4 linked regions of the Pelodiscus sinensis genome follow. The protein of the gene in region 2 purifies or fractionates together with the protein of the main gene of each other region. This does not show direct contact. Links are inferred from orthologs where the notes say so. Each region holds a gene or a part of one and is shown on either strand. Other genes may lie near its edges. The genes, in order: SF3B2, U2AF2, TRA2B and PSMA4.

Region 1 (7,288 bases), on a different chromosome or scaffold from region 2:
CTGTCTTGTTTATAGTTTTCTTTTAAAGTCTCTCTCCACACCCTGTGTTCTTAGAATCATAGACTCATAGAGCTGGAAGAGACCTCAGGAGATCATCAAGTCCAGCCCCCTGCCCAAGGCAGGACCAATCCCAACTAAATCAATACAGCCAGGGATTTGTCAAGCAGAGACTTAAAAACCTCTAGAATAGTGATAGAGATGCAGCCATGTTAGTCTGGCGTAGCTGAAACAAAAGACAGAACTATGTAGCACTTTAAAGACTAACAAGATGGTTTATTAGGTGATGAGCTTTCATGGGCCCATCTTGTTAGTCTTTAAAGTGCTACATAATTCTGTCTTTTGTTTTAAAAACCTCTAGGGATGGAGATTCCACCACCTCCCTAGGTAACCCATTCCAGTGCTTCACCACCCTCCTAGTGAAATAGTTTTTCCTAATATCCAACTTAGACCTCTCCTACTGTAACTTGAGACCATTGCTCCTGGTTCTGCCATCCGTCACTACTGTGAACAGCCTTTCTCCAGCCTCTTTGGAACCTCCCTTCAGGCAGTTGAAGGTTGCTATCAAATCCCCCCTCACTCTTCTCTTCTGCAGACTATACAAACCCAAATCCCTCTGTCACTCCTTATAGGTCATGCACTCCAGCCCCCTAATCATTTTGGTCGCCCTCCGCTGGACCCTCTCCAATGCATCCACATCCTTTCTTGTTTTATTCCTCTGAGGATTGGAGCACCTTGTGAAACATATCCTCCTTGGTTGCTTCCAAGGCACCCCACTAGTGTGTAGGTGTGACAGTGTTCCCAAGGGGCAACCTGAACAGTGATGTTGCTGAGCCCTCTGCCCTATCAACCTGGGCTCTCTCTTATACTGTGATGCCGTTTGCAAGCCACAAACCTCTGGTAGGTACTGCATGTACACAGACTTCCATGGACAGGACCATACCCACGCTGAGTTACATGAATGCTCCTGTCAGTCACTCAGGAACCAACAATAGACAGGTTCCAGCCAATTCCCCACAACTTTCCAGCTTCGAACACCATCTGTACCATCTTGCTCCGGTAGCCTTGTTCAGCCAAACCGCACTGTTGTAGGTTTATTAACTACAGTAAGGTAGATTTTCAGTGATCATAAGTGGTAGGCACGAGAGATCAGAGCTAGTTATCAAAGGAAAGAAAAGAAAACAAAACAAAACAAAAGAAAAGGGCACAAGCTAAAGCTTAACCCTGAACACACTAGGCAGTATTTAGATCTAGCAGTTTATAGGGATGTAAAATCCTGATTAATTGGTTAACTGGTTAAATGCGATGTTTAGCCAGTTAAAGGGGGCTGGGCTGAGCCCGTGCAGCCCCTGCTGCAGGCAGGAGCAGCCCCTGCCTGTGATGCACCTGGGCCTGCCGCAGACAAGAGCTGCTCTAGCTGGGCTGGAGCTACCCCTATCTGTGTGGGCCCTATTGGGGTGGAGCAGCCCCTGCCCACAGCAGGCAGGAAGCTGTTGCAGTCCCCACTGGTTAACTGGAGCCAGTAAGCATCAACTGTTAAGGGTTAACATTTTGGGTGCTTAGCAGTTTACTCGCCCACGGATGCTACACAGCTCTTAATACACAGGCTTCCCTCTCACTCCCAGAGCAGTCCCACATAGGATTGCCAGGTATCCGGTTTTGAACCGGACAGTCCAGTATATGAGCTTTCTATTCAATAAACAAATTGAGAAAATATAAAATTTGGAAAATCATGGAAGATGGGAGAGATTCCAGAAGACTGGAAAAGGGCAAATATAGTGCCCATCTATGAAAGGGAAATGAGAACAACCCGGGAAACTATAGACCAGTCAGCTTAACTTCTGTGCCAGGAAAGATAATGCAGCAAGTAAGTAAGGAATTCATCTGCAAATATCTAGAAGATAATAAGGTGATATGGAACAGCCAGCATGGATTTGTAAAGAACAAATCATGTCAAACCAATCTGATAGCTTTCTTTGATAGGATAATAAATCTTGTGGATAAGAGAGAAGTGCTGGACAAGTATACCTAGACTTCAGCAAGGCATTTGATACGGTCTCGCATTATATTCTTATCAATAAACTAGGCAAATACAACTTAGATGGGGCTACTATAAGGTGGGTGCATAACTGGCTGGATCACCATTCTCAGAGAGTAGTTATTAACAGTTCACAATCCTGCTTGAAAGCTATAACAAGTGGGGTTCCGCAGAGGTCTGTTTTGGGACCGGTTCTGTTCAATATCTTCATCGACGATTTAGATATTGGCATAGAAAGTATGCTTATTAAGATTGCAGATGATACCAAGCTGGGAGGGGCTGCAACTGCTTTGGAGGATAGGGTCATCATCCAAAATGATCTGGACAAATTGGAGAAATGGTCTCGGGTAAACAGGATGAAGTTAAATAAGGACAAATACAAAGTGCTCCACTTAGGAAGGAACAATCAGTTTCACACATATAGAATGGGAAGTGACTGTCTAGGAAGGAATACGGCAGAAAGAGATCTAGGGGTTATAGTGGACCACAAGCTAAATATGTGTCAAGAGTGTGACGCTGTTGCAAAAAAAGCAAACATGATTCTAGGATGCATTAACAGGTGTGTTGTGAGCAAGACATGAGAAGTCATTCTTCCTCTCTACTCTTCACTGATTAGGCCTCAGTTGGAGTATTGTGTCCAGTTCTGGGCACCACATTTCAGGAAAGATGTGGAGAAATTGGAGAAGGTCCAGAGAAGAGCAACAAGAATGATTAAAGGTCCAGAGAACATGACCTATGAAGGAAGACTGAAAGAATTGGGCTTGTTTAGTTTGGAAAGATGAAGACTGAGGGGGGACATGATAGCAGTTTTCAGATATCTAAAAGGGTGTCACAAGGAGGAAGGAGAAAAATTGTTCTTCCTGGCCTCTGAGAATAGAACAAGAAGCAATGGGCTTAAACTGCAGCAAGGGAGGTTTAGGTTGGACATTAGAAAAACTTCCTAACTGTCAGGGTGGTGAAACACTGGAATAAATTGCCTAGGGTCGTTGTGGAATCTCCATCTCTGGAAATATTTAAGAGTAGGATAGATAAATTCTATCAGGGATGGTCTAGACCAGTGGTCTCCAACCTTTTTAAGCACGAGATCACTTTTTTAATTTAAGTGCAATCCAAGATCTACATCACACCCAAATACCCTTGCCCCGCCTCCTTTGTGCCCCTTCTCTGAGGCCCCGCCCTCCCCGCTCACTTTCACCCTCACTTTCACCAGTCTGGGACAGAGGGTAGGGGTGTAGGCTCTGGACTTGAATTAAGGGATTTGGAGTGTAAGAGGGGCTCTGAGCTGAGCTTGGGGCAGGCAGTTGGGATGCTGGAAAGGGTTCTAGGTGCAGGCTCCGGCAGGGCATTTGGATGCAGTGCTCCGGGCTAGGGCAGGGGCTTAAGGTGTAGGAGGGGGTTCATGACTGGGGCAGGGTTTCAGGATGTGGGCTCCAGCTGGGCCCTGCTTACCTCAGGTGGCTCCTGGGTGGTGGTGCAGTGGGTATAAGGCAAGCTCACCCCTGCCCTGACCCTGCTCGGCCAGCAAACTCCATTCCAAGCAAAAGCAGCCGGCAAACTCCATCCCAAGACTTGTTGTGCCCCCTCTATGCCCTTGGAGATAGGACACAGAGTGGGAGAGGGGGCTCCCTGACATAAGCATCCTCCTTTCCCTCCCCTGCCCAGTAAGCAGGAGGCTCTTGAGGAGACAGCTCCAAGACAAACGGCAGGAGAAGGGCAGCAGTGGGGGTGGAGGGCAGCTGAAGTGCCGGCACTTGATAGCTTCTTGCCCAAACCAGTCAGGATCCCCTGTCCGAGGCTCCAAGATCTACCAGTAGATCCGGATCTACTGGTTGGTGACCACTGGTCTAGACAGTAGTCGGGGACTGGACTCGATGACTCTCGAGATCCCTTCCAGTCCTAGTATTCTATGATTCTATGAGATGAGAAAATATAAATGTCTGGTATTTTCTAAAGAAGATGTAATGTAGAGTGTGGTGTAATGTAAAATGTGTCCGGTATTTTTGTTGAAACCATCTGGAAAATGGCTAGTCCCACACTGGCCACTCCATCTCTTCAGAACTACAATTCCCAGCATGCAAAGCTCTTTGAGGTGGGCGGGGTCAGCGCCTCCTTGCCTTAGAACTACAACTCCCAGAGGACAGCGCGGTAACTCGTTTCTTTTTACTGGCCACGTGCGCGCTGATGCTGCTTGCTGCGGAGGCGCTAAGGTCTACGATACCGAGAAGGCGGCGCGCGAGGCTGTGCGTGTTGACGTTCGTTACGCTGGATGCGCCGCCGCGGCGTACATTGCCGGAACGCAGCGCTTCTTCTGTTTAGCGGCGGGCCGCCCGCCGCGTGGTGACGTATGACGACGTCGCCTACGGCGGCTGTTCAGGGTCCGACCGGGCGGGAAGATGGCGACCGAGCACCCGGAGCCGCCGAAGGGGGAGCTGCCGCTGCCGGCCTACGGGGCTTGGGCGCCCGCCGAGCTGCAGGCCAAGCTGGCGGAGATCGGGGCCCCGGTTCAAGGTGCAGCCCCGCGGGGGGCGCTCAGGCGAGGGCGGTGCTTAGGAATGGGGCGGGAGATACCGGGGGCTGCGGGGGGGGGGGGGGCGTTGCTTGGCGCTGCCGGGGGGCAGGGGCGGGCGGGGCAAACGGCTGGTGGTGGCTCAGGGTGGCTCTGACGCTTCATCTGTATCCTCCAGGCAGCCGCGAGGAGCTGGTGGAGAGGCTGCAGACCTACACGCTGCAGGTGAGTTACTCGCATGGGGGAGGAGACCCGCTCTGCCACCAGACATGGCCTCCCCTTGGCCGGGCCATTAGCGCCAGCCCTAACTCCCCCACCCCTCTCCTCTAGCTGAAAGGGATCTAAAGGGAGCCCCGAACCTAGGGCTGGCAACCTGCAGTGGGAGACTTTACTGCCTGGCGTGCACTGTGGTGTCACACGACCTGTGGGTATGGTAGAGGGGTCTTCCACCTTCACTGCCCCAAAGCCACATGCACAGTGTGAGCAGTAAACACACTCCACAGCCTTGTGATTAGTGACATTGACTAGGAACCAAGAGGCAAGCAGCCTGCATTCCCTGGCATTAGAGCAAATGAGCAGCATTAGGTAGTGAAGACTGATGCAGTGGTTAGGGCATCAGCTGCGGCTCAGGAGACCTGGGCTCTAGTCCCTACTCTGCTACAGACTCCCTGGGAGACCTTAGGTGAATCACCCAGAGTCTTTGGCCCTTAGTTTGGCATTTGTATCATTGGGCTAATAGTGCTGCCATCCTGTAAGAATAAACAAATTAACAAGTGGAAGGTGTTCAGATAGTGTGTTAACAAGGGCCAGAGAGGTACCACTCAGCTTCAACTGTAAGCTGGGTTGTGACCATCCCCTGATTGAACCATCATGGGTGCTAATGACTTAAAGGAAATTGTGAATTTCCTCATAAGACTGGAACGTGTGGGTGCTATAGCTGTGTGAGGTGGAGGACGTCAGTGACATAGACATCACTGTTCAGATGCCACGAGGGTGCTCTGTCCTAGTGAGGGTCCTTAAGGCTCCATCTGGGCTACTATATTCCTTCCTGTCACATGGTACAGCAGGGTTTGACTAGCCCACTCTCCCGCCCAACAGCAGAGAGATAATGGCAAGTGCTCTGTTGTGGCCTCTGCTCTCCACCCCAGTATGTCTGTGGATGTTGATAGTAATCAGCAGGGCTCACCGAGCTGCAGATCGCCCGAATCCAGCTCTTCCGGGATGTAATCTACTCGCCCATGGCGAGTAGATTACATAGATAGTCGAGCCCTGGTAATCAGGACAACTGTTCTGCACACTGGTGGGAGATGGGCTGCTGATGTTTGGACTACTGGGGGTGGTTTTATTTCTATCCCCATCTCTGTGCCACATGGCCCTGGGCCTTCTTGGTATCAGTATCCCCATCTGGATTTCTGTCTTGGTTGTGGTATTTTGTGTTGTGAAGGTCTTTGTGCAGCATCTGCAGGTTCCATCTTGCTTGGAGAGCTCCACCTTATTGTCTGTCCTTGTGGTGATGGAGAGTTGGTCTCCCCAGGGCCTGGATTTCCTTTCCTGACCCAGAGCATGTCAGTGAGGCCTCTAAGAGAAGCTCCCCAATGGACAGACTTTCACTTGCTTTGCAGCTATATTTATTGTGTCCTCCCTCCACAGACTGGCATCGTGCTGAGCAGGCCGTCTCTCAGGGGAGATGACGGTGACAAACCCACCCCGCCACCAATACCCGGACAGGTGAGTGAAGGGGTCATAGAGAGGAGGAATCTTGGCCTGGCTAAGCCACAAGGGCTTCCCTAGGGACTGGCTGTCTTGCTGTAGATTTCCTATGTTGAGAGGAGGCTGTCTGGGTGACTGACTTCAGTTGGTACTTCCTGCCAGGAGCTGTTGCTAACCCCAGCATCCTGAAGAGCAATACTGTTCTACTTTCATAAATCCATCCCACTCTTTCTGGGATCCAGGAGCTTCCTGCTCATGCTCACCAGTGCTGAGTGGCTCTTGAGCTGGTACTGCTGCATTTGCATTCGGGTGCAGCAACTCGGTGCTGGGTGATGGATCTTGGTTTAAATAATCTGTGATACTTCACACTCTGTGTTGGTCTTTACCTCGTCATCTCTTCTCTCATTTATAGCTCTCTGGGATCCCCTTGCCCCCACCCCCCATGGGGATGCCACCCATGCAGCCTCCACCACCCCCACCGCCTCCCCCTGGCATCAGCCTCAACTTCCCTATGGCCGTGGGGCCCCCTCCACCTCCCCCAGGTATGGGGCCCCCCCTCCGCATGCAGAGCGTGGACCCTTCAGCGCTCTCAGAGGAAGATCGTCTGAAGCTGGCGCAGCAGCAGGCTGCCATGCTAATGCAGCAAGAAGAGAGGGCTAAACAGGTAAGAGCTGTACTGCAGGCAGTGGGGTAGTGGTTTTGTCCTTCAGTGCTGGCTCCAGGGTGGCTTATGGGGTGCTGTGCTGTAGAGGTTCCGTCTTTGGCTCTCCCCTGTCTCAGTGCTGACCTAAGTGCCCTTGTGTGGTGTGAGCAGGTGCTGTGCTGCAGAGACCTGGGGGGCAGTGAGTGCTGCAGTGTGGTTAGCCTTGTGCTGCAGGATATCTGCTAGGTTATGTAGAACAGCCACTTTGTTTGTCAAGAGCCTGGGCTTTTTAATCCTGGCATCTTGGTTGCATCTTAGCTACTGTTTTGCCATTTGGCCTCCTTGAATCCCCCCTTCCCAAGTGTGATTTTAGTTGTATGTGGAATCCTTCACA
Region 2 (7,518 bases):
GGATCCCGGCTCTACTGGCTCTGGAGCCACGCTGCACTTTGACGTAAGCTAGCTCCCAAAACACAATCTTCTGCTGTTTGCATAGGGGCTCGGCGGACAGCAATGGTGCTGGAACAGACTCCGCTTTACACCACAGCAGGATGTCCCATGTGCTTCCTTCCACAGGCAACAGAGAGGATCAATCTCCCAGCCACACAAGGGATTTTAAACCTATGCAGGTCCCGGGTCTGGATCCTCAGAGGGGTTTTTCCCTCTGAAAGCTCCAAGCAGGGCATCCACCCCCAATTCTATTACGGGCAAGAGACTCACACCTGGCTCCAAACACTTGCCTCTGGCTGCCGCTCCCCAGCATCCAGACATTAAGCCCTGGGGTGCCCCATGGTAGGGTGATACCTGCCCCTCCCCTCACCCCTTGGGGCTTATTTGCCAGGAGGGGACGACGGCCACAAGGGGATAACTTGGATTTCCCTCTCTCCCCACGGAGGGGCCTGAGGCTGCCGGGAGTGGGGGAAGGTGTTCCTGCCCCTCTCTCCCACCCCGCCACCTAGTGGGGGGGGGGGGGGAGCACACCCACATGTTTCAACCTCTCCCTAGCCTGCTACAATTAATAATCAAAATTCAGCGTCTCTGCCCAAGGGGATGGATACAGGGTGGAGAAGGTTAGGCAGGAGAAGCAGGGGCTGCCTGGGGGAGGAGGGGGGGGTTGCCGGCAAAGGGGCAGCAGGGAGGGGGCTGTGGGGATTGAGTGGGGCACAGGGAAAGCTGGCGGGTTGGGAGCAATCAGGGGCAGGCTGGGAGGTGGTGACAAATGGGAGCAGGTGCTCAAGAAGCGGGCAGGGAGCTCTGGGCACCAGCACAGGTTGGGGTGCTGCTGGGGGCCAGGTGGAGCAGGAGCATGGGGTCTGGCACTGCTATGGGGCAGGCAGACAGGCACTGGCAGAGGAAAGGGGAAGCGGAGGATGGAGAAGCTGTGGGGAGGTAAAGGGTAGCCAGCTGGAAGGCTATGGGGGGGCGTAAGAGGCACTCAAAGGTTGGGGGCCACGAGCTGGAAGGGGACTATGGAGCAGGGTGCGAAAGGGGGTGCTTAGGAGAAGGGATGCTAAAGGCATGGCTATTGGGACTAGGGGAATAAGAGCTATGGGGCAGGCTGAGGAACAGGGGGTGGGGGTCCTGCAGTGATTCTCAATGGGGTGGTACAAGCAAATTTCAGGGGGCAAGCTGGGCCAATGTTAGACTAGCTAGGGCCTAGTATGAAGCCCTGCTGCATGAGAATGAAATCCAGGGACCTGAGCCCTGCCCCCGGGACAATATAGTTTCATGTGGGCCCAGTGCCATGGGGCTGCAGGCAACTGCCCTAACTCCAACCCTGGCTTTTAGATGCAAAAAACCACTTATGGGGGCAGAAGTGGCTGGCTAGTTTTTATAGCATGGGGGAGAGGCTCAAAAAGGGTAAAACATGCAGGGTCTATGGGGTAGGGGAGAAATGAGGCTTGCTAGGAATCTATAGAAGCAGGGGACTATAGGGAGTGGGGGGGAGCCATGGACCAGGAGATCTCTGGGGATGGCTGGGAGGCCGAAAGGGCAGGGAATCTATGGGGCTAGCTAAGGGTCTCTGGGCTGGGGAGGGTCTAGGAGATGAAGTATAGGGGGGGTGGTCCATGGGGCTAGCGGAAGACCTAGATGGGAAGCCCATGGGACTACCTTGAAACTATGGGGTAGAAGAATCCATAGGACTGGATCAGAGGGGGGAGGGGGTTTACGGGGGCGGGAATCTGTGGAGGTGGGGGGAAAAAACGTGGGGTGGAGGGGGGGCCCCTATGGTGTGGTAGGGAGCCTGAGAGAGCACACTGTAGTGCAGGGGGAGCTAGGGAGCTAGCCAGGGGGCGCTATGGGGTGGGAGGGGAAGCCCGGGGGGGCGCTATGGGGCACGGGGTATCCATGTGGCTGGCGGGGAGGAGCGTTTTGTGGCGAGAGAGTCCGGGGGGGGGGGGCCATGGGGCTGGCCTGGGAGGTGCTACGGGGCGGGGGAGAAGCCCTAGGGAGCGCTATGGGGCAGTAGGGAACCTGGGGGCGGCCGCTATGGGGCGGGGGGAAGCCCTAGGGAGCGCTATGGGGCAGTAGGGAATCTGGGGGGGGGGCGCTATGGGGCGGGGGGAAGCCCTAGGGAGCGCTATGGGGCAGTAGGGAACCTGGGGGGGGCGCTATGGGGCGGGGGGAAGCCCTAGGGAGCGCTATGGGGCAGTAGGGAACCCGGGGGGGCGCTATGGGGCTGGCCAAGGAGGCGCTAGGGGGCGGGGGGAATCCATGGGGCTGGCCGGGGGGGCGCTATGGGGCGGGGGGGGCCCCGGGGACGGACGGGAAGCGCCCCCCCCCCCCGCACGCTACGGGGCCCCCCGGGGGCCCCGGCCCGGCCGCGCCCCGCCCCCACCTTGCTTGTTCTCGTTGAGCTGCCGCTCGAACTCGTCGAAGTCGGACATCGCGGCCCCCGCCTCGCTCCCGCACAGGCCGCGGCGCCTCCCGCTCGGCCCCTTCCGCCCCGCGCTCGGGGAGCTCCGCCGCCGCTCGGCCCCTTCCGCCCCGTGCTCGGCAATCTCCGCCACCGCTCGGCTACTTCCGCCCCGCACTCGGGGAGCTCCGCCGACAGTCGGCCCCTTCCGCCCCGCGCTCGGGGATCTCCGCCGCCGCTCGGCTCCTTCCGCCCCGCGCTCGGGGATCTCCGCCGCCGCTCGGCTCCTTCCGCCCCGCGCTCGGGGATCTCCGCCGCCGCTCGGCTCCTTCCGCCCCGCGCTCGGGGACTCTCCGGGCTCCTTCTGCGCGGAGACTCCGCCCACGCCCGGGCCGCGGCTTCGGAAGATTCCGCCTGCTCCTCGGCTCCGCCCTCCCCTCCCGCCTCTTCGCAACGCTGCTTCGGCTGCGGCCGGAGACGGGGGGAGGGGGCTTCGGCTCTTTCCGCCTTCCCGGCCGCGAGAGAGGAGAGCGCGCGCGGTCGCAGGGAAAGGGGCCAGAAAGAGGCCACTTCCGGTAGGGGGCGGAAATGGCGTATGGGGGCAAAGGGCAGCTCCTCCCACTCCCATAAGCCCCACAACTGCCCTAGAGCCCCGCCCCCTCCATGCTTCCTAGGTTCCCATCACCATTGATGGCCTGCCAGCTCCATGGGCATCCTGTCCCATAGCCCCCCCCCCCCACACTGAGCCCCTCCCAGCCCCATGGTCACCCTGCCCCATAGCCCCCTCACTGAGCCCCTCCCAGCCCCATAGTCACCCTGCCCCATAGCCCCCCCCACTGAGCCCCTCCCAGCCCCATGGTCACCCTGCCCTATATAGCCCCCCTCACTGAGCCCCTCCCAGCCCCATGGTTACCCTGCCCCATAGCCCCCTCACTGAGCCCCTCCCAGCCCCATAGTCACCCTGCCCCATAGCCCCCCCCACTGAGCCCCTCCCAGCCCCATGGTCACCCTGCCCCTTAGCCCCCCCCATAGTCACCCTGCCCCATAGCCCCCTCACTGAGCCCCTCCCAGCCCCATAGTCACCCTGCCCCATAGCCCCTTCACTGAGCCCCTCCCAGCCCCATAGCCACCCTGCCCCTTAGCCCCCCCCATGGTCACCCTGCCCTATATAGCCCCCCTCACTGAGCCCCTCAGTCACCCTGCCCCCATAGCCCCCTCACTGAGCCCCTCCCAGCCCCATAGCCACCCTGCCCCATAGCCCCCCCCATGGTCACCCTGCCCTATATAGCCCCCCTCACTGAGCCCCTCAGTCACCCTACCCCCATAACCCCCTCACTGAGCCCCTCCCAGCCCCATGGTCACCCTGCCCCATAGCCCCCCCATGGTCACCCTGCCCTATATAGCCCCCCTCACTGAGCCCCTCAGTCACCCTACCCCCATAGCCCCGTCACAGAGCCCCTCCCAGCCCCATGGTCACCCTGCCCCATAGCCCCCCTCACTGAGCCCCTCGGTCACCCTACCCCCATAACCCCCTCACTAAGCCCCTCCCAGCCCCCATGGGCATCATGCCCCATAACCTCCTCACTGAGCCCCTCCCAGCCCCATGGTCACCCTGTCTCCATAACCACCTCACTGAGCCCCTCCCAGTCCCCTATAGCCCCACAGAGCAAAGCATAATTCCTCAATTACTCCCACCCTCATAGACCCCCCCCCCCCCCCACCCTATAAAGGGTTGCTCATCCCTGGAGGTTTCATCTTCTGATAATGTTCCATTTTTGGGAACTCCAGGATAATCCTGGTGGGCTGGCAGCCTTTGCCCCATAACTTCCTGCTAGCCCCCTATTGAGCCTTACTGTCCCAGACATTCCATAGCCCTACTGAGCCCAGTAGTCCCCACTACTCCAGACATCCACCCTGTGCCTCACAGCAGCCTCATAATTTGCCTTTAGCTACCCACGGTCCCCCACTGTCACCCCCGAAGCCCCCACTAGCCAGACATTCCACAACTTCCCTCATCTGAGTCCCATAACTTCCCTTTAGCCACCCCATAGTCTCCATAGGGTGGAGGCCTGTGTTGCATTGGTTGCTGCCCTTGAAGTTCTTACAGTCGAAAGAGACAAATGTGGGGAAACTGAGGCACCACGGTGTGTCCCAACTCCTATGTAAACATCTGATCTGCGCCTCCAGCCTGGTTCTGTGCTTGGAAGATGCAGGTCTGTGCATTGATTCAGCATTGATGTGGTGGGTGGAGCCAGGTTTACCTGTGTATTTACCCCCACCAGCCCCTCGCCTCCCAAGGCAGGCCACATCTCCCCAGTGGTACCCTTCCCCCCATCCCATCCTCTTGCCCTCCCCCATCAAGCCAATACCCACCCTCAAGTTGAGCCTTTTGTCTCCTTCCCTAACCCTACCTCACCCCCCCACACACAACTAAATATAATCCCTTGCCTGGCCCCCTGCCCCTCACTTACCCAGCCCCCTATATAGGCCACCCAACAGAGTCACTTCTCCCCAATCCCATCTAGCCCCTACCCAGATGGGGCCCTAGACACCCACACCCTAAATCCAGACCCCCACAGCCAGCCTCCCTTTTGCATTTAAAGAGCTGGCTAACGGAGCTCAGCATCCAGGTTGTAGGGACCATAGGCCAGGGACCGTGTCCCTTTTCCGGTCAGAGTCACTAAACAGCTGCCCACGGATGCCTGGAGTTCACGGGGGTGAGATGCAGCGTTCCAAAGCGCCCCCCAGAGACGGATGGGGAGGGGCCATGGAGTGGAGGTCTTTGTGGGCCTCTTCGTACCAGGCACTGTCCGAATCCATGGAGGAGGCAGCCCCAAGTGTAAGGAGGAACAGCAGGGGCCCATAATCATCATTCCTGAGGTCCCAAAATCATGGCTCTCCTCCCAGGGCTTTTCTCAGAGCAGCCTGCTTGGACCTCTAGACCCCACTATCCTCCCAGAGCCAGGGAGAGAACCCCAGAGTCCTGGCTCCCAGGCCCGCCTGTAACCACTAGACCCCACTGTCCTCCCAGAGCCAGGGACAGAACCCCAGAGTCCTGGCTCCCAGGCCTGCCTGTAACCACTAGACCCCACTGTCCTCCCAGAGCCAGGGACAGAACCCCAGAGTCCTGGCTCCCAGGCCCGCCTGTAACCACTAGACCCCACTGTCCTCCCAGAGCCAGGGAGAGAACCCCAGAGTCCTGGCTCCCAGGCCCGCCTGTAACCACTAGACCCCACTGCTCTCCCGGAGTTCTGTTCTTTCAGCACGACCCCACCCTTCCATGCTAAAGGGATATAGCCACCCTATCTGAAATACCAGCCTCTTATTCTAGGGGGCCAGTCCAAGGTGGCTGGAGAACTCCTCTGGCTTGAGTGGGGGGCTCCTGAGGTCTAAAGGGATTCCGGGCCATGGCACAGAAAGGTTCAGGGGACAGGGTATCCCAGGTCTGGGCCAAGATGGGCCCTGTGTGTACGCGGGCCTCTGTCCATCTTCACTCCAGCCCCTTTCGGGGGGGAGGGGCTCTCTCCCTCGTGCTCCACCAGCCCCATTTGGGGAGCGTGGGCCGACGGCACCGCTCTGGGACAGAAGATCAGCCCAACGTGCCCATCTCACACGGTACTGGGCCAGCTTAGCACGAGATCACTTCCGTGGACCCCCTCTGCACCAGGCAGTGGGGCCCTGTAAGAACAGCCCCTGCACCCAATCAGACCACATCTCAGCCCCAGAGGAGGGGGTCCCTCGCGAAATAGCTCCTGGCCCAGAGAGTCTGACTCATACCAGGTGAGAGGTTATGGTATAAAAAGCCCCCAATGCCCTACTCCAGAGGCAGCTGCATTCCAGCACTCGGTGAGGGGTTTCTCCATAGAGCACCCACCCCAGAGCTGGTCGCATTTCCACACGAGTGTCTCCATCGAAACAGTCTCTGCACCCCACCCCAGAGGCGCCTGTTTTTAGGCCCAAGGGAAACTTTTGATAAGTAAATGAGACTCAGGCCTTGATTTATTCCAAATTTTCTTTTTTTTTTTAATTTAAATTCTCTTAATAAATTGATTTTTGTAGTTTTTTTTTTCTTTTCTTTTCTCTTTTTTTTTTTTTTTTTTAAACATAGAGAGGGCATGAAAGAACAGGCACGGTGGAGAAGAGTTTGTTACACGGAATTAAAAGGGGCGTCCCGGCCTGGCGCCCCTTGCACTCACGTACACATACAGGGCCAGCAGCTCGGGGCCGCGGTGCAGGGGAGGGACAAATCGCCCCCCCCCCCCAAAAAAAACCAGGGAACGGAGGAACTCAATGAAAACCCTGCGAGGGGGGCAGGGTGAGGCACCCAATTTAGTGCTTTCATCGGTGCCAGGCGGGAGCAGATGGAGTCAGTACCCACACTGCCCTGGGCACGGGGTGAGGGCGGCATTAGCAGGTGACGGAGCAGGGTGTGGGGGGAGAGGAGGAGGAGCGGGGTGGGGGGGGTCAGGTTTGGTCTCTAAGTGACGCGGGATCTGTATGCGGCGTGGATTTGAGGGGAGCAGTTCAGGGCAGGGGAGGTGAGGAAGGCAAGGCAGGCAGGCAGGTTGGGTCCAGGATCCAGACACCCCGCCCTCCAGTTGGAGATCGAGCCAGGATGGCCAATCAGCACAGTTTCTAGCAGCCTGTATGGCCAATCGGCACAGCACCCGCCCCCCCAGCGTCAGACCTTTTCCAGAACTGTAGGGGTAAAATTGACAAGCTGGGTCATGATTCGAGCCAGCAGCTCCAGGCCTCATTCCCTGAGCCAGCCAGTCCCCGGCATGTGCCTAGATGGGGCCCACACCACCTCATGAGGAAAAGCCCCACCCCCCTCCACCCCACTCCTCTGCCCCACAGAATTGTGCTCAGGCCTAATTTTTAGGCCTGACCTGGACCTAAAAGAAGGTCAACCTGCTTTCTCCAGTGTCACCTCCCGTGCTTGTGGGGCCGGTCCCCTCCTGGCCCCGTGGCCCGTTCCCGCAGTGCAGACAGACCAACCCTACGGGCAGGAGAGCCTGGTGTGTTCCTTGGAGTCTGGTCCAGCCAGCCCCACCCTACCCATTTAACCAGGC
Region 3 (7,928 bases), on a different chromosome or scaffold from region 2:
TGTTTTCAGAGAACTATCCACAATGATTCCAAGACCTCTCATGAGTAGTTGTAGCTAAATTAGTCCCCATTATATTGTGTGTATAGTTGGGATTATTTTTTTCTAATGTGCATTACTCTAAATTTCATTTGCCATAGTTGCCCAGTCACTTAGTTTGGTGAGATCTTTGTGAAGCTCTTCACAGTCTGCTTTGGTCTTAACTACCTTGAGCAATTTGGTATCATCTGCAAATTTTGCCACCTACCCTTTGTTTCCTGTCTTTTAACCAGTTACCAATCTATGAGAGGACCTTCCCTCTTATCCCATGACAACTTACTTTACTTAAGAACCTTTGGTGAAGGACCTGTCAAAGGCTTTCTGGAAATCTAAGTATACTGTATCCATTGGATCCCCCTTGTCCACATGTTTGTTGACCCCCTCAAAGAACTCAAAGTTCTGCAATCAGTCCCTTTGTATCTGTTAGGACACGATCCAAGAATTCCCCCATGTTATTTGCAATACTATTTGAATTAGAAAATTGTCATTTATAATGTGTAGACATTCCAAGGATGGTTTAGTACTGGCAGCGTGAAACCTCCCACATATGTCACTCAGACTGAAGTTCCCCATAAATATAAAGCATTGCCTTCACATTATAGACAGGGCTGTGTGAAGCACACTGGTTCTCAACCAGGGTCTGGGGGCCTCAAGCAAGTTTTAGGGGGTCCTTCAAGTAGGGTCAGTGTTATGCACTGAGGATCAGGGCAGAAAGCCACAGTCCCAATACATGGGGCTGAAGCCTGGAGCCCTAACACCTATGGCCGAAGCCAAAGCCTGAGCAACTTAGCTTCATGATGTCCTCTATTGTATCAGGCCTCAGGCAACTGCCTTGCTTGCTGTCCTGTAATGCCAGCCCTGGTTTTTATATGGAGAAAACTAGTTGTTGTAGCACAAGTGGGGCATGGACTTTTCATAGCAAATTTGGAGGGGAGGGGAAGGGGGGCAGAAAAAAATAAAGTTGAGGACTCCAGGTATAGCAGGCACCAGCTTGTGCTTAGTCTGTTGGGACTTTTATTCATAAGCATGCCTAGGGAGGTTGTGGAATCTCCATCACTGGAGATATTTAAGAGCAGGGTAGACAGACATCTACCAGGGATGATCAAGACAGTGCTTGGTCCTGCCGTAAGGGCAGGGGACTGGCCTTGATGACCTCTCGAGGTCCATTCCCATTCTGTTGTACTATGATTCTATGATCATCTTCTTCCACGTTCTTAGTGACTTGGAAACAGGTACTGCCTCTTGTGACATAGAATGCCGTTGCCCATCTCTGTTTGTCCATTTGACCCTTCCTAAATCGGTTATAACCATTGAGTCTAATTTTACAGCTGTGCAACTACATCCAATTTGGGTTCCTAAAAATGCAATTCTAGTTTCTCCTGTTTGGAACCCAGGCTGCTGTATTACCATATAGGCAATACAATAATTTATTCTCTTCATGACCTTTGGTTCTTTGATTAATTTAATTCTCAACATCTCAATTTTGTGCTGCGTGCTCATATCTTCTCTCTTTTTACCTACTCCTTTTATATTAGTTTAACCCCCTCCTGACTAACCGAATAGCAAAAGGTGAGATGCAGAACTTTTCTGCCAGCATTGCTAGTATGTTTCGAGGAGGCATTCTATGTCAATAGAAAATGCCTTTTGCTGCTTTAAGTTGCATCTACATCAAGGAGCTCTGAAGGTACAGCGTTGTCAGCTAGGGAGTGTGTTATTTCACACCCCTGACCAAAATAGCTATACTGACAAAACTTTATAGTGTAAATCAGGCCTCAGTAAACACTATTTTGATCTCTGACAAAATTAAGGCTGATTTTCCCTTTCCTGACTGATTAAAGCAGGTATTCGCTGTATGTAACACGAGAATATGACTAGTAAAAGCAATACTTTTCTGGTGACGGCATTTAAAATGCCAGTTATTTTAAACAGCATCCTTTGTGAAATTGTCAGGTACACTAAGAATTTGCACCAATACATCAGTCCATGCTATATGCTCCATTAAGCTCTTGCTACTGGCACCCAGGTTGAAACTGAGTCATTGTTTTTTCTTGGGTAGTGAGATAATCTTGGGGAAGAGGCAGATTAGACTGACACCTCAGTCCATGTGAGAGGGTAGAAGGGATTAAATTACCATACCAACAAGAACTTGTTTCTTGTCCTCTGATCTCCAGCCATGCGCAATTTTGAAATGTGGAAAAAATGTCCAGGATTTTTCTTTTGTTTTTTGCAGATCAGAAAAAGTCACCCCACAGAGCCATTTAGGCTCGTCGGTGCCCAAGGCAAGCAGGCCTACAACCTCCCCATCATTATTTTGCCTCTCTGGCTTTGGGCCCTGGGTAGCTGCCCCACCCATCCTGCCTGGGTTACACCCTGCATCTTTGCATCCACAGCTGCCGGATCACGCCCTGGCCTGGCCCATCAGGTAAACAGAGCTGCCAAACACCTCTCAGCCAGGCCGCCTGCCCCACGGCAGGGCCTCATAGCCCAGCCAGGAGGGGTCACAGGGCCAGGTCCCAGCTCCCCACCCTGGAGAGAGAGAAAGGGCGGCGGGGAGGGCATGTGCTGTGTCAGCCTGACAGGGACACATGGCACTGCCCCCCAGCAGGCCCACCCATATATCCTGGCCAGGATTTCCCATATACCCCTCCCACTACAGGCACCTCCCAACTACCCCTCCCAGTGCCCCCAAAATGCCCCTCTCTGGGCACACCCAGCAGCCCCTCCGCATTGCCCCTGGGGAACTGGACACATGGGAACCCTAAGGGCTGGACTCCCCCTTAGTCCCGGGGAACAAAGAACAGGACTATGTAGCACTTTAAAGATTAACAAGATAACCTCCCTGATAACACCATCCTTGCTACCATGGATGTAGAAGCTCTATACACCAACATCCCACATGAAGATGGATTACAAGCGATTAGAAACACTATCCCAGAGGACACCACTGCCAACCTGATAGCAGACCTATGTAACTTTGTTCTCACCCACAATTATTTCCAATTTGAGGACAGCTTATACCTCCAGATCAGTGGCACAGCCTTGAGTACCCGCATGGCCCCACAGTACGCTAACATCTTTATGGTTTCCTCAGATCCTGTCCCCTTTTACCCCTTCTCTACTTACGCTACATCGATGACATCTTTATGATCTGGACGCATGGCCAAGAAACACTGGAGACATTCCACAGAGATTTTAACAACCTACACCCCACCATCAATCTCAGCCTGGACCATTCTACATGAGAGATCCATTTCCTGGATACCACAGTACAAATCACCAATGGTAAATTAGACACCACTCTCTACAGAAAACCCACTGACTCATACAGTTACCTTTATGCCTCCAGCTCCCATCCAGAACACACCATATGATCCATCGTCTATAGCCAAGCCCTTCGATACAATTGCATCTGCTCTAATCCCATTGACAGAGACCAGAAACTTCAGGATCTCTACCAAGCATTTATAAACTTCAATTACCCACCTGGAGAAATAAAAAAACAAATTGAAAGAGCCAGACGAATACCCAGAAACCATCTACTTCAAGACAGATCCAAGAAAACCAACAATAGAACACCACTTGTTATCACCTATAGCCCCCAACTTAAACCCGTCGAACACATTATCAATAAACTACAACCTATACTAGAACAGGATACTACACTTCGAGAGGCTCTGGGAGACAGACCCATAGTCTCCTACAGAAAACCACCTAACCTCAGGATGATTCTTACCAACAATCACAGGACATACCACACTAGTACCAACCCTGGAACTTTTCTTTGCATCAAACCCCGTTGCCAGCTTTGTCCACATATTTACTCTGCTGACACTATTATTGGACCTCATCAATTCAATTATAAGATCAAGAACACATATTCCTGCTCATCCAGAAATATAATTTATGTCATCATGTGCCGACAGTGTCCGCCTGCTATGTACATTGGACAAACGTCTCAGTCGCTTCGCCAAAGAATCAATGCCCACAAAACGGATATCAGACAGTATCATAAAGAAAAAACAGTGATAGAAATGTAGCTGTGTTAGTCTGGGGTAGCTGAAGCAAAATGCAGGACAATGTAGCACTTTAAAGACTAACAAGATGGTTTATTAGATGATGAGCTTTCGTGGGCCAGACCCACTTCCTCAGATCAAATAGTGGAAGAAAATAGTCACAACCATATATACCAAAGGATACAATTTAAAAAATGAACACCTATGAAAAGGAAAAACAGTTTCTTGCCATTTCAGCCAGAAAGGGCATTGTCTCAACGACTTGATTACCTGCATACTGCTTCAAAGGCATTTTAACGCCAGACTTCAAAGAGAAACCTCTGAACTGTCAGTCATGCTTAAATTTGACACTTTACGCTGGGGTCTGAACAAAGATGCTAATTACCTTACCCATTACAAAGATAGCTTCCCCAGTGATCACCTCTAACATCATCAGCTCACAGACATTTACCTCCCCCCATCCCTCCTCTGTTCTGAAATTTGATTTGTCCTTTTTATATGTGTTCACTTTTTTTGATTGTACCCTTTGGTGTATATGGCCGTGCCACTTTTCTTCCACTATTTGATCTGCGGAAGTGGGTCTGGCCCACGAAAGCTCATCCCCTACTAACCCCTCTTTACAGCGCTGCATGGTCCTGGCTTTTGTTCCAGCTACACCAGGCTCACAGGGCTACATCTCTAGTATCAGTCCCGGGGGAAGGGGACAGGTGGGGGCGGGGCCAGACTCCCCCCTGAGGCGGGGGCGGGCGGGGCGGGGCTAGGCTCATCCAATCACCGAGGGAGTTCCAGCCCACCGGATGCGTCGCTCGCGGCCGGCTCCCACAGGGGCGGGGCTGGCCAAGGGCGCGCGTCACTTCCGTTCCTGGCAGCGGGCACAGGCGCCGGACGGCAGTGGCGGTTGGCGCGACGGTTGCTGACGGGCTGCGCGGGACAATGAGCGACAGCGGGGAGCAGAACTACGGCGAGCGGGTAATACACGGAGCCTGCGTGCGCAGCCGGCCGGGCCCGCACAGCGCCAGCGCGGCCCGGCCGGGGCGGGCCCGGCCTGCGCCCACCGGGGCAGGCGCGGGCCTGGGCTCGCGGGCGGGGCCGGCGCGGGGGCCGGCGGAGCCTCCGCGAGCAGCGCGCGGGGGGCCGGGGCGATCGAGCTGGCGGGGGTTGGCGCGGGAAAATGGCGCCGGGCCGCTAATGGGGGGAGGCGGGGGCGCTCTAGCCGCTCGGCTGCCTGCTCCATGGTGAGTCCTCCCGGCGCCATCTTGGGCTGGGGACCCGCCAAAGGGACAAAATGGCCGGGCGCGCGTGTGCTGCCGCTCCCGGGAAGCGCGGCCACGAGCCGGCCCGCCCCGCCTCCCGCACTTGGGCTGGCCCGGCCCGGCCCTGAGGGGGGGGCGGCCGCCCCGCAGGCCCCTGGGGCTGGGCTTGCGGCTTCCGCCTCCCCGCGGCTGTCCCCGTGCTCCGCGGAGCCAGCCCCAGCCTGGTGCCTGAGCTCGCGGGGAGAGGGGCGGCGTGTGGGGAGGGCCGGGCGCGGACACCGAGTCGAGGAGCTGCCGGGACGCTCGGCGCTGGCTGCAGCGACACGTGTTAACGGGAGCGCGGACTCCGACTCGGGGCGGAGCTTTCACGGTGTCTGTCCGGCCCCAGCCGCGAGCATTGCTCTCCTTGACCCCCCAATGCGAGCTCAGCAGGGTCCCGGGTGCCTAGGGTGGCTGTGTCTTCGCTTGTGGCCTGTCTCCTCGAAGCTGGGAGCGCGCGGTGCTTCAGACACCAATCCTGTAGACTTGTGCTTGGTGCAGCTATGGCCGATTGATCAGTGGTTGGGAAACCTCTGCGGGGACCACAACAGTGTCCAGTCGTTCTTCCTGGTCCTGCTGCAAAACTTGATACTTGTGTCCTTTGATAATAGTGTTCATGATTACTTTGCGCAAGTAATCCACCTCTGAATGTTTAATTAATTACCAAAAATTGTAATTGCCTGGGTGAGTTAAATCTTCAGACTTTTAACTTTGATTCTTAATTACTTGTAATTTGTCTAAAAAAAAATCTTAAATTTGTCCCTTGAAACAGCTACAATTTTAGTCCTCACACACACACACTTTGGCCTCTTGAGCCATGTTTCACAGTAACTTTAAAAGTGTGTCTGGACAGTACTATCTGACCTGAAATTGCAATCTGACCTGAAGTTGGGTTCTGCGCACTGTGATTATTGGGGCATTATTATCCTTCATGTTCACGAGGGATGCACAATTAGTTGTGAAAGCCTAGTTGTAGTATTGCAGTTATCGCACTGTGATTATTGGGGCAGTATTATCCTTCATGTTCACGAGGGATGCACAATTAGCTGTGAAAGCCTAGTTGTAGTACTGCAGTTACGATACAGTACAAAGCATCTTCAGAAACAAGCAGTATTTACTGCAAAAATGTTCTTACGCAAACAAATGGAAAGTAATCAGAAATGGAGAGATGAATTATTTAGATAGCTGCCAAAAAAAAAAGACTCATCAATGCAATCCACATAGATAAACTAGTAATTCAAACCATGCAGAATTTGAATGCCTGAGACTGATGTAGCTGTTTATATTTCTACATATTGGTTGGTCATAGGGATGTTAAAATGTTTAGCTGGTTAAATGCTAGTGATAAACTAGTTAATAGTTTAACTAGGGCCTGCCAGAGCTGCTCCGGCCCACTGGCCGGCCACTGCTGGAGTTCACCTGCAAGGGCCAGTTTACCAGTAAGCCTTATGTTCCTGGTTAACTGTTTAATAGCATAGTTGGTAACCTGTTACGGAGATTTTGTGTTTCCTTTTATTTTACAGCAAAATTAAGCTTTCAATGGAAATCAATATGTAAGATGTTAGTATGAAATCATAAATTGTCTCTATACTCATCTTTTCAGTAGCACGTATAGAATTTCATAGTTTGTGCAGATTTACCAGTATTGGACAGTAGTACTGGACTTTTAAGAGTATAGCTACAGATTATTGCAGGTAAGAGCATTAAGGAAGTTGTGGCAAACTTCCAACCGATCCCTGGGCTTGACTTGTGTTTGGACCCTCCAGCCCTGCATGCACCTGCTTCTGTGTGAACACAGTTGCAGTATAGACCCAAAGGGGTTACCTTTGACTAGGGATGTAAGTGACTAGTCAAGTCACTACTCAGCTAGTTGCTCCCGTCTTCCTTGCTGCCTCTATTAAAGGCAACCAGTGGAGGAGCAGAAGCCAGTGCTGGGAGGAGCTAACCCCTCTGCAGGTCTGCAGTTTCCCCCCTTATCGACTAATCAAGCAGTCAATGGAAATCTGACTACTCAATTAGTTGATTAAGCATAATTTAACATCCTTACCTTTGACCCCAGGCCCAAAGAAAGATTTACATTGCAGTGTAGATATAGCCTAAATCAGGGGTGGGGAGCCTCAGGCCCAGGGGCCGGATGTGGCCCCCAGCTTGCCTGGATCCAGCCCCTGAGGCTCAGCCTTGGGGAACCCATGCAAGTGCTCCAGCCTCCCACTAGGCTCTAGTGTGCAGGAGGAATGTGGGGAGTTTCTTTCTTCTTAGTCGGGGTCTTCTCACTTTGCTCCCCCCCCCCCCCCCCCGACTCATTTTTTATGGGTCAGTGGCCCACATCCCAAAAAAAGTTCCCCACCCCTGGCCTAAATGATCAACAATTGAGGGCTTGGTTCCCTTTTAAGTGGCATGGTACTTGGAAGATGCTAGACATTATCAGATGTTTTTCTGAAAGACATTTTAGGTTAGTGTTTTTCCAGTCTTTTCATGTCTACATCTTGTACTTAGACCAGCATGTTTCTGAAAGAAAAAAACATACTTACCATTTATATACCATGTAATATATTTCCTCGTTATGATGGACTGCCACGGTCTGGTA
Region 4 (7,226 bases), on a different chromosome or scaffold from region 2:
TACTGAGACACCTCCCTCTCCTCACGCATTCCAGCCTCACAGTGACTGGGGAAGGAGGAGAGAAGTTCAGGGCTCCCCACAGGCAAGAATAACTCTGCTGGGGTCCCAGAGTTAGTAATTTTGTAGGCGCCCCCAGGCTTTGACGTGGAGCCAAAAATGAGGGGGTTCAGTGTGCCCAGGGGGACAGCTGAAGAGCAAGATAGGAGTGCAGGGTCAGGATGGGAGGTAGGGTGCAGGAGCAGACTGAGGATGAGAGGTCTGACTGGGAGGTGGAGCGCTGAAGCAGAGTGGGGATGTGGGGTCTCAGTGGGAGGGCAATGGGTGTGTGGAGTTTGGGGATTAGGGGGTGATTCTGGCCAATGGGAACAGCGAAGAAAGTCTCCAGGAGAGTGGTTTCCTATGCTGGCATCTGCCCACTTGGGTTCAAATAGTGACTTTCCCTCAGCTGGAGGAAGAGGGAGTGGCAGCATGTGGAGCCACTTCCTCCCCCCATGAGCCAGATCCGGGGAATCTTCCCCATTTACCCTGCAGTGGGAAGCCAGTGCTGAAACTCCAACCATTCGGAAGGGAGGGAGCAGGGCTGGACTGCCAATGTAGTAGACCACACTTTGAGAATTACTGTCTTAAAGAGCTATTAAAGCTAATCCCGGTAAAAAATTTCACTCAAGAAATCAAAAGTCCTCAAAGTAACAAATATAAAACCAGTAAAACTGTTTTATGCTATTTGAACGACAGAAGTAATCAAATGTCCTATTAGCAATTATAACTGCAATGAACATGTTTTACTGACAAACTCAACTTACTCATTAAGTTTATATATCTTCTCTGAAAAAAATACTTCATCTAGAAGCTTGTGGATATTGCGCCGTTCTGCTGCTAACAACACACCATCATTTGCTAAAATTCCCAGACAAGTGCCTGCATGGCCAATTGCTTCCATAGCATATTCAACTTGATATAAGCGACCTAAAAAAGAGGTTTCAATTGTTAAATTCAACCATTTAACTCTGAAAAGGACCAAGTCTACAAAGTGTTGAGTATCTCATATAACATACTAAGCGTAACTCAGCCAACTCTCACAGATGTCCCCATATCACAGGAACAAGTCTAAGACTGTCACTTAACAGGTCAGAATCAGATAAGCAATTCAATGAACACAGTGGCAGGTTCAGATAGAAACAAACATTGTCCTTAGAGAGACAATTAATACAAGTTATCTACAAAAAAATTACAAAAGCAGAAACGGAGACAATTATGGATTTTTCAAGATTCAAATGGAGTTTTAGACACTTCTATGAATAAATAGCATCAAATGTTACTCTAGGTAGGATACTATTGTATGGGCTATCAATCCTCATGTGCCAATAACTAGGACACTTTTTCCTTGTATCATTCCAAAATGTAAGATTGTACTACTAAACAATGGTTTGGATTTTGTATTAATATTAAAATTAAAGCATATCTCCACTATGGCCAGGAACTCCCTTATTGTTTTGGGTATCATTTAATGTGAAGATCTGATTTCAGTGTCAGAAATGAAACTCAAGGAAATTGTCAACATTCTAGACTTTTACATGTGTCACCTATTGTATAAAATTTTAGGTATATATGAGGAGAAAAGTTGATAGGTTAAGAAGGTTCCCATTTACAGAACAATACCTTCTGGAGAAAATATAGTAGTTCTGGAATCATATCTTCGAGACTGTAACAAAGAGAGAAAAACTCCAGTAACTGTTTTTCCTTTTAGACAGAAAAAACATTATTCTGTAATTCTGTTAACCATGTATAGCAGTAACATAGTGATTTGACTTTAATATCTGTGAGATGTACAGGTAGTTTTGTTACTATTATTGTACTAGTTACCTTTTAAAAACTGAGAAGCCCTGTGGCACTTTGGAGACTAACAAAAATATATATAGTATTATGAACTTACCCTTTATTGCTAATCAAGAGACGAGCGTTCAATTTACACTAATGTCAATGCTTTTTCCTTTTATCCCTATCCCAATCAATGTCTTCCTCTCACAAAAGTTGTACAACCAATACTGTAAATACTTCTGCATGTGCTTAATTTAGGTAAAATTAATGTGGGCAAAGTTAAGCAGGTGTATAAGTGTTTTCAAGAATATAACTTCTGTTATTTACAGTTATTTAGCTGCAGAGAGCTTAATGATACTACTGTACTAAACAACAAAAATATATTTCATTAATAGTAACTCACCATTTTGCATGTATGTTACACTGTAAAAAAATAAAACCAGTCAATTAAAATACGTTTTCAGAGCATAACATTTATCAGACACGGAAAATGATGTACAAAAATATTTACTACAGTAATAAGCCTTCGATAAAAGAACCTCCGTTTCTTTATTGTTCTTATAGAAGGATTTTAAAAGGTTGCAGTTAAGTTTTTAAGAGTCACGAACTTCAGTGATGAGCTAATTAAAGGGGAGCATGGGACTCACCTTGACAGGTGGTAGCTGAGCCCCCAAAAGCCCCTTTCAATGCACTGCTGTAACGCAGCAGCCCAGTGCTTTCTCTGCGGAGCAAGGGGCGAGGCGGGGGAAAGTTTCTTCCCCTCGTTTCCCCAGAAACATTCCTATTCCCAGAGAAAACTTGGGACAGGCAAGACGCCATCCCCTGCACGACTGGGAATTCAGTCCCCCCCCGCCCGCCTTCCCGGGGTGGAGGCCAGCCCGACCCTGCCTAGCCCTCTCGCGCGGGAGCCACAGCCCGAGAGAGGCTCAGGGGCTATGGAGTCCGCCGGGCCAAGCAGGCCCCGCCAGACTGAGCCGTTCACCAGCGGCTTCCGCAGCGTCATCCCCCCGCCTCCCGCCGACAAGGCCTCCCCGCCTCCCGCTGCACACTGGGGGCTCTTACTGTCCTCGACCCCAGCCGCGCCCCTCAGGCGGCGTCTCCCCACTTACCGCCGAGCGGGGTGCGCTGGGGGGCCGCCGGGAAGAGACTTGTCTTGCCACAGGCCACTGAGCCGGCCCCTCGACGCGTCCCAAAATGGCCGCCGCGCACGCGCGAGTCCCGGCTCAACTAGGCGCTGCTGGGGGTGGGGCGCGCTGCCCGGGGAGACAGGGCCTGGCAGGACTCGTCTGCTCTGAGCCCTGAGCCCTTCCGCGGCCTCCGCCCTCTGCGCCTTGTCTCACTACAGCAGGGCGTGGCCTGGCGCGGCGGCCTAGTGCCCTTCTCAGTAATCAGAGGGGTGAAGAGGGGAGTCTCGCAGGGCTCTGTCCTGGGCCTGAGCCTAGTCAGCGCGTCCATACATGATCTGGAAAGTGAGGGGTTACATTAGCATGCGACACTCAAGCGAGTAGGGCGAGGAGCTACACAAGGATCTCCCAACATTGGGGCTGTGTCTACGCTGGCATGAATTTCCGGAAATGCTTAAAACGGAATACTATTCCCTTTTCAGTTTTTCCGGAAAAGGAGCGGCTACATTGGCAGGCTGCTTTTCCGGAAAAGCTCTTTTTCCGGAAAAGCGTCTGTGGCCAATGTAGACGCGCTTTTCCGGAAAAGAGCCCCGATCGCCATTTTTGCGATCGGGGCTTTTTTCCGGAAAAGACTACTGGGCTGTCTACACTGGCCCTTTTCCGGAACAGTGTTCCGGAATAAGGACTTATGCCCGAGCGGGAGCAGAATAGTTTTTCTGGAATAGCGGCTGATTTTGTACAGTAGAGCATCGTTGCTTTTCTGGAAATTCAAGGGCCAGTGTAGACAGCTCGCAGCTTATTCCGGAAAAGCGGCTGATTTTCCGGAATAAGTGACCCAGTGTAGACACAGCCTGGGTGACTGGGCAACAAAATGTCAAATGAAATAAAATGGTGATAAATGCAAAATGTGCCCTGGAAAACAATCCCAGCTACACACAAGCGGGGAGGTGGCATAGCCAGAAGGGCCAATTTGAGTGGGCCCAACTTAAAATGGGAGGGCAATGGTGGTGGGGGGCCTAAGCCCTGGTGGTGAGTCCCCACTCCCCAGCTAGATCGCCTGGTGGAGCAGGGTGAACCTTGGTGCCCTAGCCTGGCTCCTGGGCTAGAGCAGCAGCAGAGTGGGTTAAGTCCTGGCCTGGTTCCCAGGCTAGAGCAGTGGGTAAAATGGGGTAAGCCTGGTGCCTCGGCCCCACTCCCAAGCAGGAGCTCCAGGTGGAGAAAAATAAGCCCTGGCTCCACTCCCTGGCTGGCATGCCAGGTGGGTTGGTAGAGGAGGACCAGTATTGGGCCATATGAGGAAACCCCTGGAGGGCTGCAGGGTGGACCATGGCCCATTCAGGCACAACAGTGGCTACACTCCTGGTATAAATTAGCTGTTACTACCGTAAAATCTCGAGTATAATGCGCACCTCCCTTTTAAACATCAGAATTCTTGAATAAACTAAACTCTTATCTATAATGTGCACCCCCATTATACTCATGATTTTATGGTATATATAGGAAGGAAGGGGCTTGCACTTGCTGCGGGGCCCCCTGCCCAGCTGAGCTAACGCCTGCTGCAGGGCCCCCTTCCCAGCTGCCCATGCTGAGACAGGGCAGGCAGCGAGCCAATGCAATGCAGCCTAGCAGTGCCACTGGCTCCTCACTTTGCCTGCCGCGGGGCCGTCTGCCCGCACTGAGCTCATGACTGCTGCAGGGTCCCCCTGCCCAGCTGAGCTTGCACCGCGCTGAGCTCATGCCTGCCGTGGGGGCCCCTGGGCGCAGCCTGAAGGAGCAGCTGGCTCCTCACCTTGTCCGGGAGCCTGGTGAGGCTGCAACCCTGCACTGTGCTGCAACAGGAAAGTTTCTGTGCAGAGGGAAGGAGAAGTTTAAAACTTTAAAAAAAATAGCTCTTGTGTATAATGCACACCCAGGCTTTGACCCTAAAACACCGGGGGGGAAAGTACGCATTATACTCGAGATTTTATGGTACTTAAGAAAAAGATCTTGAAGTTGTGGATTATTTTTTGGAAACATCTACTCAATGTGCAGCAAAAGTCAGAAAAGCAAACAATGTTGGGAATCACTAGGAAAGGGATAATAACATGACAAAATATAATTTTGCCCCTATATAAATCCATGGTATGCCTACATTTTGTGTACTGCATGTAGATGTGATTGCCCCAGCTCAAAAACAATATATTAAAATTGGAAAAATTAAGAAAAGGACAACAACAAATATATGGGGCATGGCAGATTAATAAAATAGATTTGTCAGCTTGGAAAAGAGATGAATAAGGGAGACTATGATAGAGGCATAAAATCATGATGAGTATAGTAAAAGTGACTAAGGAAGTGTTATTTACTCCTTTTCATAACACAAGCCATAGTAGAAGGTTTAAAACAAATAAAAGGAAGTATTTTTTCATACAATGCATAGTCAGCCTATAGAACTGCATGCTCTGAAGATGTTATGAAGTCCAGGACTATACGGGTACATCTACACTGCGGCGCTATTTTAGGACACTTCTGGTATCCCAAAATAGCTATTCCGTATCTTTTAAACAAGCCTGTTATTTTGAAATAGCTTTAAAAATAATCAGGCTTACTCTTCTGATGTCCCTGTAAACCTCGTTTCACAAGGATTAAGGGACACTTTGGAAGAGCGATGTATTTCAAAACACATTCAAAATAAGCTGTGCAATTTGCGTAGCTAAAATTGCATAGCTTATTTTTAGTATGGGTGCAGTGTAGATGCACCCTACTAGGGCTCAGAAAAGAACTAGATAAGTTCATGGAGGACAGGTCCATCAATGGCTTAGCCAGGATGGGTAAGGATGATGTCCCAGTCTGGGAGTTGGCAATAATTTTTGCAGGGGGAAGTTGTCTGGGATTGGTCTAGACTACAGATGTAATACTGTAATTGATTAACTGATATCGGTTAATGCTGTAGACTACATGCCTTTCCCTCCCCTACCAGCAAATTTTTTAGTAGGCTGGCCAGCAGCCTGGCTCAATCCTGGCTTACGATAGGTCTAGGACCTCCCGCTGCTGTGGCTGTGCATTTAAAGTGTATTAGGAGCAAGACGGGCAGACAGCCCAGGTCAGTTCCGGCTTGCACCAGGTCTGGGAGTTCAGACACCCCGCCGCCCCACATGGGCTGCTGCCACCCCGTGCTGTTGTCTCTATCAGGTTTTTTAATTGGCTCACCTCACGTACCAGCTCCCGCCTGGCACCCCATACTGCTGCCTCTGATACAGAGGCAGCATTGCAGAGTTCCAGGGGACTCCTCAGGAATGGGGCTCGAGTGCATAGGCTGCTGGCCTCACCCCTGGGGACTATAGAATAGTCAACTGATAAGAATTCATGAGGCTACTCGACTAATAAATTAACCGATATTTAACATCCCTAGTCCAGGCTCCCGGAAGGAGTGGGGTGTCAGCCAAAAGGGACGGTGCTGGGGCTAGAGAGAGAGAGTGTGTGTGTATATGTGATACAGACTAAGTGTGACTGTGGCACAGAGACTGGGAGAGTACTTGTGTGCATAGTGACTACATGTAAGTCAGAGAGACAGTGTGTGACAGAGTGGGTGGCAGACAGACTGGGTGTATAACACACTAGATGTGGTGTGTGATACAGAGAGTGTAGGAGAGCGAGCTAGCTGCTGGAGAAATCTTAGAAACAGTTCACTGTCTCTTTGAGAAACACTCATCTCAGTCACCATTCATACCTCAGATTGGAGCAGCTCTCTGCGACCCCTGCTTTGCAGAGATGGGGAATGGGAAGGAGGACACACTGACATCAGTCCTCTGCTGTTGTCACACTCCTCCTCCTGCACAGCTGCTAGGAGAGTCCTGGGAGAAGCTTAGCTGCAAGACTGAGCAAGGTGTGGGGAGATGCAGCTGAATACACACGGCTGGCTATAAATGTGCATGCTCTGGCAAAGATTAAAAGAAACATTTTTGTATTTGTGTATTGTGCCAAAATTAAACATGGAAAATTTATTTGAAAATATACTTCCTGTGTCAGACAAAGATGGACAAAAACTAGATCCATAGGCGGTAGGTGCATAGACGGTAGGTGCAGCTGGGGTAGGGGAGGCAGGATCCCAACCCCACCTGCAACCCTGCCCCCTCTGCTGAGGCCCGGCCTGCATGGGAAGGGGAGGAGACAGGGCAGCATGCTGAGCATACCGGACACCTGGCAACCCTAGAGGGCAGGTGCTCAAGGCAGCAACACTCTGCCCCAAGAACGCCTACAGCAGCCGTTCTGGGGGGCAGAGTGTGAGCATGGCTGTGCCTGGTG

The links.
Region 1: the proteins of U2AF2 (region 2) and SF3B2 purify together in Homo sapiens (affinity purification with mass spectrometry; 3 studies listed by BioGRID and IntAct, counting the BioPlex papers as one, with this or other methods). This does not show direct contact. The link is inferred for Pelodiscus sinensis from reciprocal best matches to the Homo sapiens genes U2AF2 and SF3B2.
Region 3: the proteins of U2AF2 (region 2) and TRA2B purify together in Homo sapiens (affinity purification with mass spectrometry; 4 studies listed by BioGRID and IntAct, counting the BioPlex papers as one, with this or other methods). This does not show direct contact. The link is inferred for Pelodiscus sinensis from reciprocal best matches to the Homo sapiens genes U2AF2 and TRA2B.
Region 4: the proteins of U2AF2 (region 2) and PSMA4 fractionate together in Homo sapiens (co-fractionation; 3 studies listed by BioGRID, with this or other methods). This does not show direct contact. The link is inferred for Pelodiscus sinensis from reciprocal best matches to the Homo sapiens genes U2AF2 and PSMA4.

What each region holds. Positions count from the first base shown.
Region 1 is NC_134721.1:32,231,623-32,238,910, reverse strand, and holds the start of SF3B2 (splicing factor 3B subunit 2), read left to right. Parts: upstream 1-4,235; 5' UTR 4,236-4,428; coding exon 4,429-4,543; intron 4,544-4,719; coding exon 4,720-4,766; intron 4,767-6,191; coding exon 6,192-6,269; intron 6,270-6,663; coding exon 6,664-6,915; intron 6,916-7,288. UniProt on the Homo sapiens protein: Component of the 17S U2 SnRNP complex of the spliceosome, a large ribonucleoprotein complex that removes introns from transcribed pre-mRNAs.
Region 2 is NW_027465849.1:3,175,581-3,183,098, forward strand, and holds the start of U2AF2 (splicing factor U2AF 65 kDa subunit), read right to left. Parts: upstream 3,027-7,518; 5' UTR 2,478-3,026; coding exon 2,429-2,477; intron 1-2,428. UniProt on the Homo sapiens protein: Plays a role in pre-mRNA splicing and 3'-end processing. By recruiting PRPF19 and the PRP19C/Prp19 complex/NTC/Nineteen complex to the RNA polymerase II C-terminal domain (CTD), and thereby pre-mRNA, may couple transcription to splicing.
Region 3 is NC_134720.1:3,414,465-3,422,392, forward strand, and holds the start of TRA2B (transformer-2 protein homolog beta), read left to right. Parts: upstream 1-4,859; 5' UTR 4,860-4,982; coding exon 4,983-5,018; intron 5,019-7,928. UniProt on the Homo sapiens protein: Sequence-specific RNA-binding protein which participates in the control of pre-mRNA splicing. Can either activate or suppress exon inclusion. Acts additively with RBMX to promote exon 7 inclusion of the survival motor neuron SMN2.
Region 4 is NC_134724.1:39,552,062-39,559,287, forward strand, and holds the start of PSMA4 (proteasome subunit alpha type-4), read right to left. Parts: upstream 3,064-7,226; 5' UTR 2,928-3,063; intron 2,644-2,927; exon of another isoform or gene 2,466-2,643; intron 2,242-2,465; 5' UTR 2,225-2,241; coding exon 2,222-2,224; intron 1,703-2,221; coding exon 1,660-1,702; intron 967-1,659; coding exon 804-966; intron 1-803. UniProt on the Homo sapiens protein: Component of the 20S core proteasome complex involved in the proteolytic degradation of most intracellular proteins. This complex plays numerous essential roles within the cell by associating with different regulatory particles.